2 linked regions of the Alligator mississippiensis genome follow. The protein of the gene in region 1 interacts with the protein of each later gene in a pairwise test. Links are inferred from orthologs where the notes say so. Each region holds a gene or a part of one and is shown on either strand. Other genes may lie near its edges. The genes, in order: KCTD6 and GRB7.

What was found.
Region 2: the proteins of KCTD6 (region 1) and GRB7 interact in binary tests that used the Homo sapiens proteins (3 or more experiments, as listed by UniProt). The two-hybrid records come from large-scale screens. The link is inferred for Alligator mississippiensis from reciprocal best matches to the Homo sapiens genes KCTD6 and GRB7.

Annotation. Positions count from the first base shown.
Region 1 is NC_081835.1:890,432-899,011, forward strand, and holds the start of KCTD6 (BTB/POZ domain-containing protein KCTD6), read left to right. Parts: upstream 1-5,330; 5' UTR 5,331-5,409; intron 5,410-5,418; exon of another isoform or gene 5,419-5,540; intron 5,541-5,573; exon of another isoform or gene 5,574-6,147; intron 6,148-7,624; 5' UTR 7,625-7,703; coding exon 7,704-7,730; intron 7,731-8,580. Other genes in the region: PDHB (pyruvate dehydrogenase E1 component subunit beta, mitochondrial), read right to left, coding at 897-1,042, 1,524-1,665, 2,422-2,513, 3,208-3,318, 4,193-4,478, 4,664-4,699, 4,785-4,847, 4,933-5,040 and 1 more. UniProt on the Homo sapiens protein: Probable substrate-specific adapter of a BCR (BTB-CUL3-RBX1) E3 ubiquitin-protein ligase complex mediating the ubiquitination and subsequent proteasomal degradation of target proteins.
Region 2 is NC_081827.1:165,262,601-165,271,447, reverse strand, and holds the start of GRB7 (growth factor receptor-bound protein 7), read left to right. Parts: upstream 1-5,176; 5' UTR 5,177-5,241; coding exon 5,242-5,271; intron 5,272-5,893; coding exon 5,894-5,984; intron 5,985-8,847. UniProt on the Homo sapiens protein: Adapter protein that interacts with the cytoplasmic domain of numerous receptor kinases and modulates down-stream signaling. Promotes activation of down-stream protein kinases, including STAT3, AKT1, MAPK1 and/or MAPK3. Promotes activation of HRAS.

The sequences.
Region 1 (8,580 bases):
CAGCGTGGAGGAAAATCTTCCTCGGGCTACTGTTTTACCATACCAGGTACTTCAGCTGATCTGAAACTGAACTGAGTGAAGGGGGTCAGGGGACTAGAAGCCGAGAACAGCTTGATTAGGCAATCCTGGAGAGACTGTAGGTGGAAGGACTGAAATAATTGATTTACTAGGTAGAAGCTTTTTTGGGGGCTCCTTGCTGAAATTACTTGTCAACCTCAACTGGAGCTTTTGCAGCTCTAGAGCCTCAAAGCGTGAACAGAAAGTCCAGAAGTGCAAGCCCAGCACGCATACTTTCTGTGGTAATGGCTCCATCACCACACCTATTTCTAGAAATATGCACCCTAGTCTTACAGCTCTAATTAAGTAGCAGGTGCAAAAAAGGCCCGTGCAAGTGCAGACTGATGTCTGAGTTGTGATAAAAGGCAGCTGTAGAGCCAGTCTAAACCTGCAGCGTCCAGCTCCACTGCCCTGTAGCAGCCCTTAGGCAGTTCTTTCATTTTCAAACCACTCATTTGACCCGTTGTAAGTAGTAGACAGACAGCACGGCTGGGTAGTCGTTTATTTCTCATACTAAATTAAGACCATTTAGAATGAGACTCTTTCTCTGACAGCAATAGAACAGTCCGTTCACTGGTACCGTCAACTCTCAGAGAGGGTACAGATTCAAACTTACAGCATGAGACTGGCACAAACATAGCTATATACTTCCCCACAGAGCTGCTTAGAGTTGAAGGGTGACTGAAAGGCTGGCTTATTACACAATTAGCCATATAAATAATTTTTAAAGTGTTATTTAACCTTTTCTTTCTGTACAGAAAGGTTCATGAAGCTATACAAGGCAGTACACTCCATATGTTTTAAACTAAGACATTTTAGAAGAACATGTTTGTAACAGTCTAGATATTTAGTGTTTTCTTCACTGCAAAGATGATATCCTTCACTTGAGGTATGCAGTTCTCTTCCAAGATCTTTGCATAAGGCATAGGAACGTCGGCCCCTGTGACACGCACAGCTGGAGCATCCAAGTAATTGAAGGCAGGTCCTGGAACAAAGAAAGGCATCTTAAGCCATGCAGAGCTAGCTGTTGTTCCTTGATGTACCTGCAGTTTGACAAAATTGGCCTGTTCTGGGTATTTGGGGTCTTACAGAACTGCACTGCAAACCCACCCCTGCAGCTTTCCTTGGTTAACTGAAACCAGATTTTTTGCTGTTTGGTCCCTTCATTCAGCACACATTTAAGAGGGAATGCTCGAGCAAAGTGATCCAGTGGCCCTTACGTGCTCAGCTTCCCAGGAGCTGCTTGAAGCTCCATGCCTCAGAGAGGTGATAAGTGTGGTAGAACAAGGGACTGGGGCTGTTACTTCAGAAGTTAACACACTTTTCTGACTTAGCATCTACTGTGTCAGCAAAACAGGCTTTGTACTTTCCTCTCGTACTTGCCAGGCTTGGCTGGAAGGCAATAGATTAGAGGCCAGCGACACAGTACAGATACATACAAGTTACAGGAGCTGAGCAAAAGATACCTTCCATGATTCTGGCACATATTTCGGCTCCTACTCCAAACTGTGGCCAACCTCCTTCCACTGTTACAAGGTTATTTGTCTTCATAATGCTGGCTTCTATAGTTTCAACATCCATTGGGCGAATGGTGCGGAGATTTATCACCTGGAAGAGAGAGTGGCAAGCGATTTGGTACTAGGTTCTTTAAGCCTAGCCCCCTCCCTTGCTTACTGGAGCAGAGTCTTTCACTTCATGAGTACTTTGTATTCTTGTTTTAGGCAGTCTTACTCTCCTCCCCCAGAACCAGGAGTGTCTCCTATGCCTTCTGCTCCGCTGTCTTTACCTCAGCTACCTCCACAGTTGTAGGATGCACTCCTCATCTCATCTCCAGAGGGGATGCCTCTACTGGCATCAACCCAGTAGTTACTTGTAGCCACACGATTTGTAGCAAACCGGCTTACCCTGGCTCAACTCACTGCCCTTGCTTTTATAGGGGAGTGCAAGGCTACTTGCACACTTGCATGTTTCTCTATGAAGCTTCCCCGCACAGTAAACAAGACTCTTATGTTCCCCTTGCTTGCTGTCTGTGGGTAACTAAGTGTGCCCACACAAGCAATATATCCATTTAGCTTTGGAGCCAGTGCCAAAGGCTCAGCAGATAAAATAATTAAGGGCTCAAATGTATTGAACACAAATTTTAAGCTATGAATTTAGTGTCTGCATCAGTAAAACAGTGTGGAATCCTACCAAGTGTGACAGTGTTTTGCAATCTCAAATGCAAACTTCCACCTTGCTGGCAAAGCACAAGCATGGCTGAATCCCTCTTTAGCTCAGGAATCAAAGCAGTTGAGAATGAATCCAATTTAAACGAAAGATGTTTTTCATCCTGGCCTGAAATACCACTGAGTGAGTGGGACATACCTCACACTCCACCCCTTCTTTGGCAAGGACAGCAGCTGCTTCCAGACAGTGTCCAACAGGCCTCGAGTGCGACACTAACGTAACGTGCTTTCCTGAAACACAGAAGCTGGTGGTGGATCAAGACAGATCTTCCTGTCAAGCAGCTCAACACTAAACATCTCTGAAAAGTTAAGTGTAAGACCTCACCTTTTTGACCTAGCTAAAGTCTAGCGTACTCAGCATCTGACTTGCATGTCAGGACTAGCCTGAGAAGTCTGTTACTGGAACTCTTCCTGAGTTCGACTACTTAAGAGCATCGTTCTTGTGCTCTGTGTATTGGCAGAATGGATGGGATCAACTTGCTATGCCACGAATAACAAGTTGCTTGCATGCTTCTACAGCGAAGTTATACACAACTGACAAGAGGTTTGAAATGCTGCACATTAGTGACCTTTCTTGATATGCTGAGCAAAGAATCTAAGCTCTGGTTGTGGGTGTTGTTTTCTTTTCACTCGTTTCAGACAGTCCAACTGCACCAGGCCTAGCTGGCCACTAGAAAGTGTTTTAATTGTGGGTCAAGATGGCCCTGCCCTAAATTACTTTGTCTGTGAGTAATAAGTGCTAAAAACAAATAGCTGGTAAAATCCAAATGACCAGAAGTCTTAGTAGTGTCCTTCTGAATAGTTCCCTGTTTTGCAAGAAGGAAGTACTTTATAAAGGAAAGCACTTAATGAGTTCAATTGGTCTAGCAAGGAAAGAGAACTTTTACAAGTGAGAATATACAGAATAGTGGTATTCTGAACTTACCCGGCCTCTCTATTTTGGCTTTGCCAATAGGAACCAAGAAGTCCTTTGATTGCGTTTCCTCCGACATCTCAAAGGGAACTCCATACATCAGTTCATGTTCCAGCATCACAACTAAAGATCATTAGAGTGGTCACTTGGGTTAGTCTGGAGGTCCCCCAATCCAGGTGCCACACAACATTTTCCAAGACTGTCAGGGCCCACGATGGTGGACTCCTCCTCTCGGCTCAATTACAGGAGGACAAGCATAACGCAGCAGCACGCTTAGACAAGCCCAGAGGACTCGAAGCTTCACTTAAGTAGCTATTAACTTGTAGCACTGCACAATTTTGAAATGGCTTCTTTGACTGATCCCACAGCCAGAGGGTGATTTCACACTAAGCATTTGGAGATGCAACATTTGGGGGGTAATCAGAAACCCAGAACTTGCTCCCAGACGGCTTCCACATCTGTTCCACAGACACGCAAGTGACGGCTACAGGACTGGGTCTAAAGGGCCAGGGCTATGCTTGTCATCCTTTTCCTAGGACAGCAGTGCACAAGCTGACCGTCGGGGGGGTGCCCATATTCTAGTTCAGCGTTTCCCAACCAGTGCCGCAGCGTGCTGGGATGGAGCCAAGCCCCTGCCTGCTGCTGCTGTGGGTGGACACAGACAGACGAGGAGCATGACTCCAGCCCAAAACGCTGCTGGGCCGGCCGTGCGCCACCCCGCTGTCAGCATCCGGCTGGCCACACGCCACCCCCTGCGCCGTGGTGCTTCTTTATTGGGAAATGCCAGGGGGAGGAAAAGGTTGGGAAATGCTGTTCTAGTTTAACTTTGGTTTTGAAGAAGAGGTCGCGGTCAGGAGAAAAGGTCTCCAGGATTACCTTCACGATTTGAGTCCCACGCTTTAAGCGCGTTCTTCGCGGGGTCAAGGTGGAGAAGGGAAGCGGAGGGCGCGCCGAGACTAGTTATTCGAGTACAGCGGGACTTCCTGCTGGTAATTACCTGGATTGTCGTCCCGGATGGCCGACTTGAGCAGACCTCTCGCGTCTTCGGAGCTCCATGGGCTGACCACCTTCAGCCCAGGGCAGTGCCCGTACCAGGCGGCGAAGCACTGCGAGTGCTGCGCGCCGACACCGGCCGAGGTGCCGTTGGGGCCCCTGAACACCACCGGGACCGAGACCATGCCGGAAGACATGTAATAGGTCTTGGCAGCGGAGTTGATCACCTGGTCGATGGCTTGCATGGAGAAGTTGAAGGTCATGAATTCGCAAATTGGCCTCAGCCCAGCCTGTTAAACAAGGACACGGGCCAGTCACGAAGCCTCGTCCGGCCTCCTGGCGCCCCCCGTGCCCTGGGGGGGTTAACCCCGCTCCCCCTTCCCGCGGGGCTGCGGCGCACGGAGCGGGCGGTGCGCCCCCCCCCACGCCGGCCCGTTTCCGAACCGGCTCCTTGTGCGCAGCGCTGGGCACCCACCATGGCGGCTCCCACGGCGATGCCGGTGAAGCCCATCTGCAAGGGAGGGAAGGCAGAGGGGTGAGCGCGGGGCAGGGGTAGGGGCAGGGGGGCGTGGGGGGGCGGGGCGGGGCGGGGGTACCTCGGAGATGGGGGTGTCGATGATGCGCTTGTCGCCGTACTTCTTCCACAGGCCGCGGCTGATCTGCGGGCGCAGGCAGAGCGTGAGGCGGGCCCGCGGCCCCCCGCCCCCCCGCCCGCCCGGCCCGGCCCGGCCCGGCCCCGCTCACCTTGTAGGCGCCGTCGTACTGCGCCACCTCCTCGCCCAGCAGGAAGACGCGCTCGTCGCGCTCCAGCTCCTCGTCCAGCGCCTGGTTCAGCGCGTCGCGGACCGTCACCTGCGGCGCACAGCGCGCTCACGCCGGGCCCGCCGGCCGGCTCCCCCCGGCCCCGGCCCCGGCCCCGGCCCGGTACCTGCACGGCGGCGGGCGCCGAGGCGCGGATCCCCCGGCGCAGCGGGCCCGGCAAGCGGTGCAACCCGGCCCGCGCCAGCCCCCTCAGTGCCGCCGCCATCTTGGATGTGCCCTCCAGCGGCAGGGCGTGGCGTCACGCCCGCACCGCCCAATGGGCGCCCGGCCCCGCCCCCTCGCTGCCTGGCAACGGGGCGCCGCGGCGGCGTCTCGCGAGAAGCGGCGGCGGTGGCGTGCTACGTCACATCCGCTCTGGGTCGGGACGGTACGCGGCGAGGGACATAGTGCAGCGGCGCGGTGAGTGCGGCCCCGCGCCCGCCTGAGGGGAGTGGCCCTGCCCCGCGCCCCTCGCCCGCTGTCATCCCCTCAGTCTTCCCTTCTGCAGCCTCCACGAGCCCATTCCCCGCCCGCCGTGACGGGATGAAGAGGTAGCGGGCGGGCGGGCGTTCGGTGGCGCTCGCGCCGGCGGTTAGGATTTTGCCCCGAGCGGATGCGCGTGCTCCTTAGCTCGCGGGGCCGCCGAAGGGTGTTCCTGCCCAAGACAGTTTTATTTATTTTTATTTTTTTGCAAAACCCTCGTGGGTCGGATGAAAGAGGTCACCCCTACACGGGCGGCCCCACGAGCCCGGCTAGCCGGGCAGAGGCTCCCAAACCGGCTTCCCCGCAGACTCCGACACAAAATCAATGACGCATCTAGATGCTTGCTTTATTTATTGATGTATTTATCAAAACACGGGCTTGCCTGAGCTAATTGCTCCTATAAATTATTTGCTCGGTGTTACGGTGGCGGCGCTGTCGCCCAAGGGTAGCTTCGGGCAGCAAGATGTATCTGCTCCGTTTTCTTTGTGATCGCCCAAGCGGTGCCGTGGCGGGATGGATCCGTCCCAGGGGCTTTGGAGATGGCCTCTCTCCTGTCACACAGATGTTTGTCAGAGAAAATCTTTTCAGTAGATGGGTGCAGACCTCTTTATGTTTCTTCCCTGTTTAGAGTTGGTGCCATTGAGCATTTATTGAGACGTCATTGATTATACGCGTGTAAGTCGCACTGTTTTCCCAGGTCTGCTTCCCCCTCCTCTCCTTACTGTGGGGACTTTGTCAGAGGCCCTCCTTGCCCTTTTCCTGAAGAAGTGCCGCGGCCTGATGCGAAGTGTCCTCTCGCACCTTGCGCTGGAACAGAGCAGTCCCTGTCTAAAGGAGAAACCCAGGGTCTGCGCCTCCAGGCTAACGCTAGCGGGGGGAGTAAGTTGCCGTTGAGCTGGGAAGCACAGAACAGCTCTGCAGGCTCGTTGCCCCGATGGCTGGTTCTTCTCGCCTGCGCGGAAGAGCCGACGCTCTGAGTTCGTATCTCTCCCTCGGTCGGCAGTCGTTTGTGCTGTGCTGAGGCAAGCCTCCCCTTTGCCTTGTCCAGCATGACTCATCCACGCTGCCGATATTGTGTTTAACTTATTTGCGTTTTAGTGCTTGGGAAAAGGTGTAGGGTTGGACACGGGATTCTCCTGTGGCTGGGGACATGCGATGCCTGCCTTGTGTATGCCTCTGCTCTCCACGTGCAGCTGGCCTTTGGGGAGAGCTCTCACGCTCTGCCGTTGCAGTCCAGACCTTCTCTGAGCAGAAAGCACTTCGCTCTTGCCATGCTCTTCTCAAGTGGGGACACGGGCCTGTGACGGCTACAGGAGAGCAGGCTGTTTGGGTCAGAAATTGAACGCTACTTCTGTAGTCACTGAGTGGTGCAGAGCTCTGCCTCGGCTCAAGCGCTGTGACTTTACTTGCTGGGTAACACGTGCCTGGGTTAATTTGTTTCCCAAAGCTCCCACAAGATCCTTTCTGTACCAAACTGTTTGTAAGTCCTAGAGTTTAAGCCAGAGGAGACCTCTGCTACTGCCTAGCCTGGTCTGCCACCAACCCAAGTCACAGCATTTCATCCATCCTTCCAGCAGTGGCAGGATGGCAGGCTTTAATGGGACCTTGCCCTGAAGGTGAATGTTCCTGACTACCTATAGGAAGTTTTCTTTTACTTCCCTCCTGCTCCCCCCAAGTGACTTCTGAGTTCCTGCTGCTGCTGAGATACAGAATTATTGACTCATAAAGCTAGCACACAGGTCTCCACATCTACTGAGATGGACCTTCAGACATGAGATGAATAAATCAAGCATTTGGCTTATGTAAATGGGGTTACTTTTTAAGATAGATGTCCCCCACTCAGATGAATTGTAGCTGGTGTGCGAGTATAAAACTTCAGAAATGCCATGCAGGCTATTTAACAAATCTGGAATACTGAGGACAGCTTGTGAAGGCACTGCTCTCTCTAGATAGGGCCTGTCTTCAGGCAATGGAAAGGATGCTGGAAGATCAGTATAGGGAAGTCCTCATTTGTGGGTGTTGCTGCTATGCTGCCTGAATAGGTGACAGCAAGACCCAGCCTGTCTTTGAGTAGAAGCACTTAAAGACCAGCAATGCTTATAATCTGACAGATCTCTCTATTTATTTGTTTTATCTATCTGTTTGTCTGCAGGGGGAATAGACGTGAATTGTATATCCCTTCAGCAACCTTCTGTTAAACTTGGACTCCCACAGATCAAGCAACAGAACAGATGGATAATGGAGACTGGGGATATATGGTAAGTGAGCCAGTACAGATGTGTGTGCATGCTGAGAGAGACTTGGGCTTTCCAGATTTTAATGTAAGGATCCCCTCCAGTCTCTTGGCTTTGTATAGACCCAGAGAAGAAACTATGGGAAGAAAAATCTTATTAAAAACAATTTACTTACATTGTCTTTAGGTGTTTCATTTCAGTATGGCTGTGGGGCCTTTCACGTTGTTAATCTCCAGACAGTGCAGGGATTACATAAAACAGTGGGGTCAGCCTTTTTGGCAGCTGTGCTACAAACTAGCCCCACTACTTCCCCAAGTGCCGCACTGATCCTGTTCCCTGGCCAGTCAGCTGCTCTGCTTTCTGTTCCCTTCCTTGTGCTCCCTGCCTGATCTGCTGCTTTGCTTTCTGCTTCCTGCCTGCCTCTCTGTCTGCCCTATCTGCCACACGCCACACATGGATGCTGCCCAGGCCACTCGGGGCACGTAGGCTGACTTAAGACAACACTTACAATTCTCTTAAAAAGATCGGGCCACAATGATGGGCTAGGAAGTGTTGGAAAGCAACCTCCTTGATGTACAGGGTCCTGGAAAAAGCAAAATCTTCCATGTTCCTTTACGTATTTTGATGCCATTTTATTTGGGGAAAAACTATTCTTGCCTCTTAAACTGCATTTCTGAAACTAGGCCAGACTCGCTCATCTTATTATTGCTCTTTCCTTTTTTCCTCTAAGCATTCTCCTCTCTTTGGATACATCTGGCAGGCCCTCAGCCCTGGCCATGACTCAGTGACCGAGTGGGATCTGTATTTCTTCTCTCACCTGCCTTTCTGGGTGTGATGTGGGTGGTTATAGCTGTGGGCTGCCTCCAGTGCCCAG
Region 2 (8,847 bases), on another chromosome or scaffold:
TCGTGCCAAAGCAAGGACTTCAGGCTTTCTCAGGCTTTGCCCCATCAAAGCAGTTGAGAATCCGCCAGGTCACCACTATTTCCTTAAAGGGCTGCTGTGATGGTGGGAGGGGAGGGCTCATTTCCCCCAAAAAGGAGGGGCAGGGCAGGGTTGGGGAGGATCTGACTGGAATGCAGCTGCCCTGGATATAAAAGAAAGCACTACTCAGCCCCCAGATGAGGTCTAGGGAACAGCTTGAAGGGAAGCCAAGCTCCCCTTGTTAAAAGTTTGTCACCAGCAGGTTGGGAAATTGGGGCACCATTAACCCTTTCCCTGCTGCACAATGCCCTGGGAGCTCTCTGGCAGTACCTTTCAGCTGTCAGTTTTAATTTCCAGGAGGCCTCTCGGTGCTGGCTGGGATGGGAGGGAACAATCAGACCATTGGATTGCTTGGAAGCCCCACTTCCCACCTGCTTGAGTCCTCAGTGGCATCTTCCCCACCACCCCAAGGGGGCCGAGAAGATCGGGGTGGGAGTGGAGCCCTCTACTGCCCATGTGCCACTTCCAACCCATGGCTGGGTGCAGGTTTTCCTGCCAGCGAGGGAGACCTGAGTGCCTCCATCCTGCTTGGCTCCCTCCCTCCCCAGGCAGACAGCAATAGCTCAGAACACGGCTTGGCACTGGGTGGAGCTGACGTCACCCAGGGTCCAGGGGTAAGAGCCATTCTATATGCCAGCACACGGGGATCCCAGCAAGTGGGCTCCCCCTTTACTCAGAGCACTAGGTGGGTCAGGACTGGGTGGGGAACCTGGGGGGTGAGCCAGGTGGGGGGGTATGTATGTGGGGGGCGGGGGTGAGGTGGCTCAGCCCTGCTCCTCACAGAGCTGGACTTGTCACTATTTGAAACATCCAGCCCTGTCATCTTATGCAAGTGTGAAATACATGGGCTCCCAGGGCAGCTGCTACGTGTGTGAGCAGGGCTGCAAGGGGTATAGGCAGCGTGGCCAGGGTGGGGAGAGGGGGCGGGGAGGGAGCTGCCCACTGCGCTGCCAGCTGAGTCATTTCAGAACTGGGGCTTGAAGCTGGCCGGATGGCGGTGGGGATGGCTGTAAATGCTTGGGCCCCTGTAACCAGCCCTTGTTAATGGTGGCGCTCACCAATTAAAGAAGGGAAGAGGGACGGGGGAGGGGGTGCTGCTGCCAAAGCCATAACAGAGGTGGGGACCCTGGGATTTATCCTCAGAGTGGCAGCAACAGTGTGGGGGGGAGGGCGCACAGCGAGGGGCTCAGCGGTGGAGGCCACTCTGAGTGGCCGGCTCTGGCAGGCATGGATCAGGGCATGCAGGAGGGCCGGAGCTTTCCCTGGAAGAAGGCCGTGGGGGTAGTGTTTTGCTGCACCTGCTTACGGAAACGTGGCCCCCTGGGAAAATCACCCACGTGTCCTGAACGGAAGAGGAGCCGCAGCACAGCCTCCCGCTGCAAGGTAATGCATCCATTCCTTCGCCCCAGGGGTGGCATGAGTGCCAGGGGAGCTGCATGGCCTGATGCCCAGTGGGGAGGGGGACCATGCCCCATCAGCACCCAGGGCCCCTTCTTTAGGATGGTGCCCAGGCATGCTGTTGTGTGCAAGCACTCTGAGTGCACATGGGCATGGATCTGAGGGGGCAGGGGGAGACGGGCTTGTGCATGTGCATGTGACTGGGTAGATACGTGTGCCCCCACAGATCTACCAGCCAGAGAAGGTAAAGGGAGGAGCCTGCTGAGCCACAGCCTAGGACCCACAGGTCCCCATGCCCTGACATTTGCCTGGCCTGTGCCCTTTCCCCTGAGTCCTGCACAAGCAGAAGCAGGCTCCTCATGGCACAGGTGCTTCCTGTGGCACAGGTGACCCACGTACCACCTCTCTGGGTATGTGCAGAGAATGGCCAAGCAGCCACCAGGGGGTGCTGGTGAGAGGGACCAGGCCTTGGTCCCAGCACATGAGGAGCTGTCACCCTTTTTTGAATCAAAGCTCCTTTGGCTCCTGCCTCCTCTTTCTACTGCTGGGGGCTTGGGTAGCACCTGCTGCCCAGCCCCCAGGGGCTCCTTTCTAAGCCAACAGGGCTCAGGCCTATGGGAGCCAGGCACAACCTCAGCCCTTCTCCTTGCCTTCCTCCCCAGCCCTTCTTCTCAGCTCCTTCTCGCACTGCTGAGAAGGGCCTGTGTTCTGGTCTGTCCTGGGCTGCTAGCTCTAGCTGCCTCACTCAGTGGTGCATTACAGCAGTGCATGGGTCAGCCTCATTAGAAATAATTCATTAGGAAGACCAAGCTGGTTCCCATGGGAAGAACGGTTTCCCTTGGCCTTTCTCCTCTGCCTGCTCAGGACAGATTTTGGGCAGGTGTGGCTGCTTCTTCACATTGTCCCTGTGCATGTGTGCGTACGTGTGTGGATGCAAGCAGACAAGGGCAGGTGGACTGTCATGCTCACCAGCTGTGTGCAGGGGGCAGAGGAGACAGGCTTGGCTGCTATGGGGTACACTGACACCGGGGCTCCAAGCTGGAGTGTCCACTTCACTTTAGCCTGGCTCTGCAGGAGTTGGAGTGGGAGAGGGCGAGAAGGGGACTGCCAGTGGTTCTGAATTGGGCAGGGAGGGACTTTGCCAGAGTTCAGGACTGGGACTTTCCTGCTTCGAGGGGACACTGCGGGGCAGCAGTTCTGCACAGGGCCAAGAAGGGCCATGACAGCAGGGCAGAGGAAAGGCCAGGCTGGAGCTGAAGGCAGTAAGACTCTGGCAGGGCTGTGCTCCAACTTGGCATGGCTCAAGGTGAGGGAGAGAGGGGCCCCTGATGCCTCCCACTGCTGCTGATTTATTGATCTTGGTCAGCATGGCTCCTAATTGGTGCGTGGGAGCCAAGATGGACAGCTGCACCCAGCACTTTAGGATTATGCAGCTGGTCAGTGGCTGGCCTGAGGCTGGCAGCCCAGGCAGTCACCCCTCACTGCCAGGTGACTGCACGGCTGTATCAGGCTGATGCTACCTACCTCCCCTGTGCCTCACTCCATGGCCTCTGACCTATCCTGCACACCCCTTGAGCTACAAGAAGAGACCTTCTTCCACACCCAGGTCCCACGTGCAGCACCATCCAGGCTACTGCCACCAAGCCCACATTCACTATGCCAGCCCCATCCCCCCAGCAGGCTGTTCCCACAGCCAGGCCCCTCTGAGTCAGTAGTGTAGGAGGGCTATGGCTGGCCCACAGCCTGGGCATGAGGGAAGCCCACAGACCCTCCCACGAATGCCAGGCCTGCTTAGGAGGTTTCTGGTAAGGAGAGGAATGCTGCACTCTGCCTGGGTGGAGTTGCTGGTACATATGGGGTTGTGTTCCCCACAGGTGGCACGGGGGCATGGAGAGGCTGAGAAGACAGCGTGCAGCACAGTCTGCCTTCCAGAAGCTCCCTGCTGCCACAGGCTGCTCCCAGCCCTCGGGAAACCAGCTCCCCGTGCAGTTGGGTGGGTCATGGCAGAGGCATTTCAGGGCTGGCTGCCTTGGGCAGGCTCCTGGAAGTGCTGCTGCTGTCCAAAGGGTTCCTGGAAGCAGCTTTATGTTCTTAGAAACATAATATAAGCTGGGGCGTGAGGCTGTGCAGGAAGGGAGGTGGCAGCCTCACAGAGGCCCTGGCAGTCTAGCCAAAGCTGTAATTGTACAGCTACGAAGGATTTTTCTTTCCTTTAGATGCTGGGAACAGGCAGGGCTGACTGTTCCTGCTCGGCTGGCAAGACACAAGATCCCAGGGAAACCCAGGGCTCTCAGAGTCCAGGTGGGGTTAACTGTGAGGCTGGGACTGTTTCACACTGTGGGATGGTGGGAAGGAAAGGGGCCGGGGTGGAGGCACAGCTCCTATCCATCAGGGATGGCCTCCCCACTCCAGATGTTGTGGGGATTCCTTATCACTCCACCAGTCCTGGGTCTTATTCTCGACACTGGATCCCTGCTTTCCTTTGGGCAAGTCATAGGAGCCCTGTGTCCCTTCCTGTCTTGTGGGAATGACACCCACTCTTCCCTTTCAGCATGCGTTGAGATGCAGCTCTGCTGGGAGTTGAGGGCTGTGTCCTTGGTAGAGAAGGCACCTTGCATCTCTGCCTGGTGCAGTGGCTACAGCTGGCTTCCCTCCATGGGGACCATTCTGTATTGTCACCCTCCAGCATCAGAAGCTCAAATCCCCACCACACCCTCCTCTAGGTGAGCTCAACCCATCTGTGGCAGATGTACCAAGGCCCAGACCCTCACTCTGCACTTGGATTTTGGGGGGACAAGCTTACAACCCCTGCTCTGTACTAGCCTGACATCACTTGTATCTTTCAATCATCCAGAGGGGTTGGCACATGCAACCTTAGCCAGGACCTCCTCTCCCCATGCCACAGGGTGGCATCTGCTAGTACTTTCCACCCCATCTCCCTAGCACTCTGCAGTCCTTCTTGGAGAAAAGCAGCATATGAATTCTCAGGGTGAAGCTCCAGCCTGTGATATATGCCAGGAAAACAATTCTGGAGAGGGGGAGGCTTGCCAGAAGGAGAATGTCAGCGAGTTGAACTGACCCCTTGTTGAAAACTCAATGTAGCAAAGGCTGGTCTTACTGCTCTTGTTTGCTTAGCATGGGCATGTTGGGGATGGAGTTTAATCTAGTAACAGTAGGTGACTGGGGGTGAGGAGAGTCCTATTGACTGGGTCCTCATACTTTCTCAGGGAGGCAGGATCACTGAGTGGCTAGAGCAGGCAATTAAAAGGCAGGATTCATGGGTTCAGTGACCATTGATAAGAAGGTGAGAGCACAGGTCTGGCTGGCAGGGCTCCTGAGTTCCTTCTTCTGCTCTGCTACTGATTCACTGCATGACCAAAGACACATCACTTACCTTGCCCATGCCTCAGGTTTCCTCAGTTGTCATCACTGGCTGGTTTTAAGGCTGAATTCAGTGACTGTGAGCGCCAAGGTATGGTCCCAGGTGGATTGAGGAGGTGGTGTGCCACTCTTGAGAAAGGCACTGCCCACTTCTCCAGAGCCCTGCAGAAACAGGAACCTATCTCAAGCCTGTGGGGTGCCCTGCTGTGCCTACACAGTGCTGCCATCTCTATTCCCTCCTGCATGCAGCCAGCAGCAGCAGCGAGCTATAGCTGGGAAATTACAGCAAAGCCACAGCCCAGATAAGGCTCCCTGCTGGGGCTGGTGGTTTGGAACAGACATGGTGATAACTGCTGGGGACAGACTAGAAGAGGCAGACAGGGGATGCAAGAAGCCACGGGCGCCATGGGCGAGGTAGGGCAGCTCCTGGACTCTATGCCCTGAAGATGCTGGGGGATGGGGGAGCCTTGTTCCTCTCACCCTTTATTACTCTTTCTTCTTGTGGAAGTGTGTGTGTGGTGGGGGAGGTGGGGATCAGGAATCCTCCCTAGAACCTGGTAGGGGAAATCCTGGTGTCAGGACTGGCCATGTAAGGGGCAAGGAGGGGAGTGTTGTGGCCAACACTGAGGGGGGGGGGGTGTGTGTGTGAGTGAGATCCAGGTGCTTTTGCTATAAGGGTCTTGGGGACTGCAGTGCAGTGACTATGGTGAGAACACGTGCCTGGATGCCACGATGGTGGGCGCTGTGTGAGCATCTGCATGGACAGCCCCAGTGGATGGCTTGATGTGTGTTGAGGTGGGGAGGGAGGGGTCTTGCATGGTTCCCACAGCACCTTTGCAGCTGGCGTACTAGCTATTCCTGTGGCTGGCAGCAAGATGAAGGGGGAGCCGAGCCTGAGCTGCCCTGGACCCAGGGCTGGGGGAGCTTGTGTTGCTGTTGTCCCTACTCAGGGGTTTCTCCCCACTGGTGGAATGGGGGTCTCCCAGCCTCCAGGGGGGAAGTGGGACTAACTCCTCCCTCCTGTCACCTGCTGCAGGAGAACACAGAGTTGGGGACCTCTGGGCGCAGACTTCGGGAGTGGATCCATGGGAGACCTCACCGCCTCACCGCCCAGAACCAGGGCAAAGGTAAGAAGCTTGCTCACATCCCCACCTCTGTGTCATGGACCCTCACCAGGGAAGAGAGATCTGTGGGGATACAGCCCCCTCAGCCCCACACATGGGGGAACTGAGGCACAGAAAGAGGCAGGGCTAAGCTGATGAGGTTTCATGGTGGCAGAGCTGGGGGTGGACCTCAGGGTGGGGGCTCTGGGTACAAGTTCAGGCCCACCCACTTCAGTACCCAGACTTGGTGTGACAGCCCTGCCCCAGGCTCACAGGCTTCTGTCCCCGGACAGACTTTATGGGGAGTGTCTGCCACCCTTGTGCCCACTGCAGGCAACCAGTTGTGCCTACCACTGGCTCCTTATGTGCTCAGGAAGGGGCAGCATGTGGTCCAGTGCAGAGGTACCTGGACTGGGAGCCAGAAGCTGGTACTGGGTCTGGTACTGCCTCAAGGAAAATCACAACCCCTTTTTGGGCTTCAATTTCCCCATCTGCCTTTTGCTAGCTCCTTATGGCAGGACCGGGACTGGTGTGATACCTGGCATGACAGTACCCTTTAGGGGAGATACATGGCAGGGGGTTCATGATCCATGGGCCTACTGTGCAGGGGCTGAGCTGGGGTGGGGGGAAGGGAACCCCAAAGCCTCTTGCCCCTGGTGAGAGTGTGACTGACAGCAGCAGAGTGACCACCCCCAACCATCACTGTGGCTCTGTCCTGCTATGGAGGGACCTTCTAAGTGGTCACGGGTGGGGACTGATACTTGTCTGCAAGGGGGCATGATGCTGTCAGCGGGGGGGGGGGCTTTTGTACATGGCCCCTTGGCTCAGGTCCTCTGAGGGTCCCAAAGTACACTACTCCCATCATTTTCATCAGATGTCAGTGGGAGTTTGATGCCTAAATCTCTTTGGAAATCTGGGCCTTGGGTGCTGAGATCTGGAATGAGACTTGCCAAACTCATCACACCCAGGCTACCAGTGAGAGCCCCAGATGGGTCTGACCAGCCAGAAAGGGAACTGACAGTGAAGAAGCAATCTTCACAGGCCACATCCCCTCTGGCCCATTCCCCGGGGCTAGGTTTAAATATAGCAGGGCTGTGTCTCCTGCCCCTCCTTATGCCACCCAACCACGGGTGGGACACAGCTGGATCCAGCCCCTGGCTGGGGAGCTGTCTTCCTCTCCCTCCCTGGGGCTGGACACTTAGCAGAGAATGGCACCAGTGGGGTTAGGAGGGGTTTATAACAACAGGAAAATGGGGCATTCCAGCAGTGACTGCTTCAGGCTGAGGGACATCCACCCTCACACAAGGACCAGTAGACCAGCTGGGTGCTTTTCCCTCTAGGGTGGGAGGTTGATAATCCTTGCCCATCCCAGCTCCAAGCAGGATCTCATTGGGCTTTGGGAAGAGGTTTCCCCTCATGACACTACCACCTGCAGCAGCACATGGGGTCCACACAGGCCCTTCTCCTCTCCTTGTGGCCTCCTCCACAAGGGCCCTTCTCCTCCCCAGCCCCAGCCCCAGCCCCAGGCCCTGTCCCCAGGGCTGAGCTCTCCTGGCATGTGCTGGAAGCTGCCCCTGTGGCTGGCACCTGGCCCTGGCCCTCGTGACCAGATCCCAGGGCTGTGAGGAGGGGTTGCTCCACTCCCAGCTGGACACATGCTGACTGTTGCTAAGTGATTTCTCCAGAGGGTGCCAAACACCATCCCTCAGTGGCAGTCCATGCTCTGAGGGGGAGAGGGAGGGGACGAGGGTACCTGGGGCCAGAACTCACAGGGACCCATGGAGTCTTTTATGGGCCTAATAATAATATCTATCCATTGCTCCCCATCCACCCCTGTTATTGATTCCAGAGTCTCTCCCAGGTTTTTCCCAGGGCTCCCACCATAGCTGTGTCCCAGCTTAGTCTCCCCAGCCATTTCCTGCATCCCAGAGCTGCACTGAGTCCTCTCTCAGGCTTCCTTGTCTCCAACCTGGAGCATTTTGTCCAGCTAGCTGTGTTGCACAGGGAAGGAGAACTAATGGGAGTTGGGGATGGAGAATCAAATCAACTCACTGTGCGGTGCCGTCGGGAAGCGTTCTGATTAAACATTGCATGTTGCAAGCCTGGCTCTGATGGGGCCCGGAGGGCTTCAGGCACCCCCTGCTAGCCCCTAGATAGGGGTCTTGCACAGGGAAGTCCAGCTTCTACCACTGGGGACCTCTCTCTGAAGGCACAGTGGGAGTGCAATGGAGCTGGAATGCTGCCCCTCAGCCAGCAGCCTGTGTAATTGCAACACATGGATACAGGGGAGAAGAGGCTGTTCATGGAGAGGAAAAAGGCCCAACACTCACTGCAGGCTTCGTAGCCACAGCTGCACTGCCTCCTCCCTCCCCCTTTCCCCACATGGCTATACCAGGCCTCGGCTACCAAGGGGACCTCTTCCTACCCCAGCTCCCAGTCCCCAAATACCTGTGCTAAGGGAGCGCTGCTGCTACAGACACCCCTGAGACATTGCACTAGGCAGTATGCTCTGAGTTCTATCGCAGCAGAGGGCTAACAGCCAGGGCTCCTGGGTTCTTTCCATCTCTAGGATGGTAACGATGTGTAGTGGTTAGAACAAGGGTGGGTGGGCTCTAAGCCAGGACTCCTGGGTTCTGTTCCCAGTTCAGGGCCAGTAGTGTGACAATGTGATTATAGCATAGGTGGGGACGCAGAGCTAGGTCTCCTAGGTTCTCTTCCCATTGCCAGGGTGGTAATGAGGTACAATGGTTAGAGGAGCGGTGGGCAAGCTGTGAGCCAGAGCTCCTGGCTTCTGTCTCCACTCCATTCATGACTTGCTGTGTGATCTCAGGCCACTTCCTTCCACCTCAGTTGTCCCACCTGAAAAATGGGGCACCCCAATCCTTAC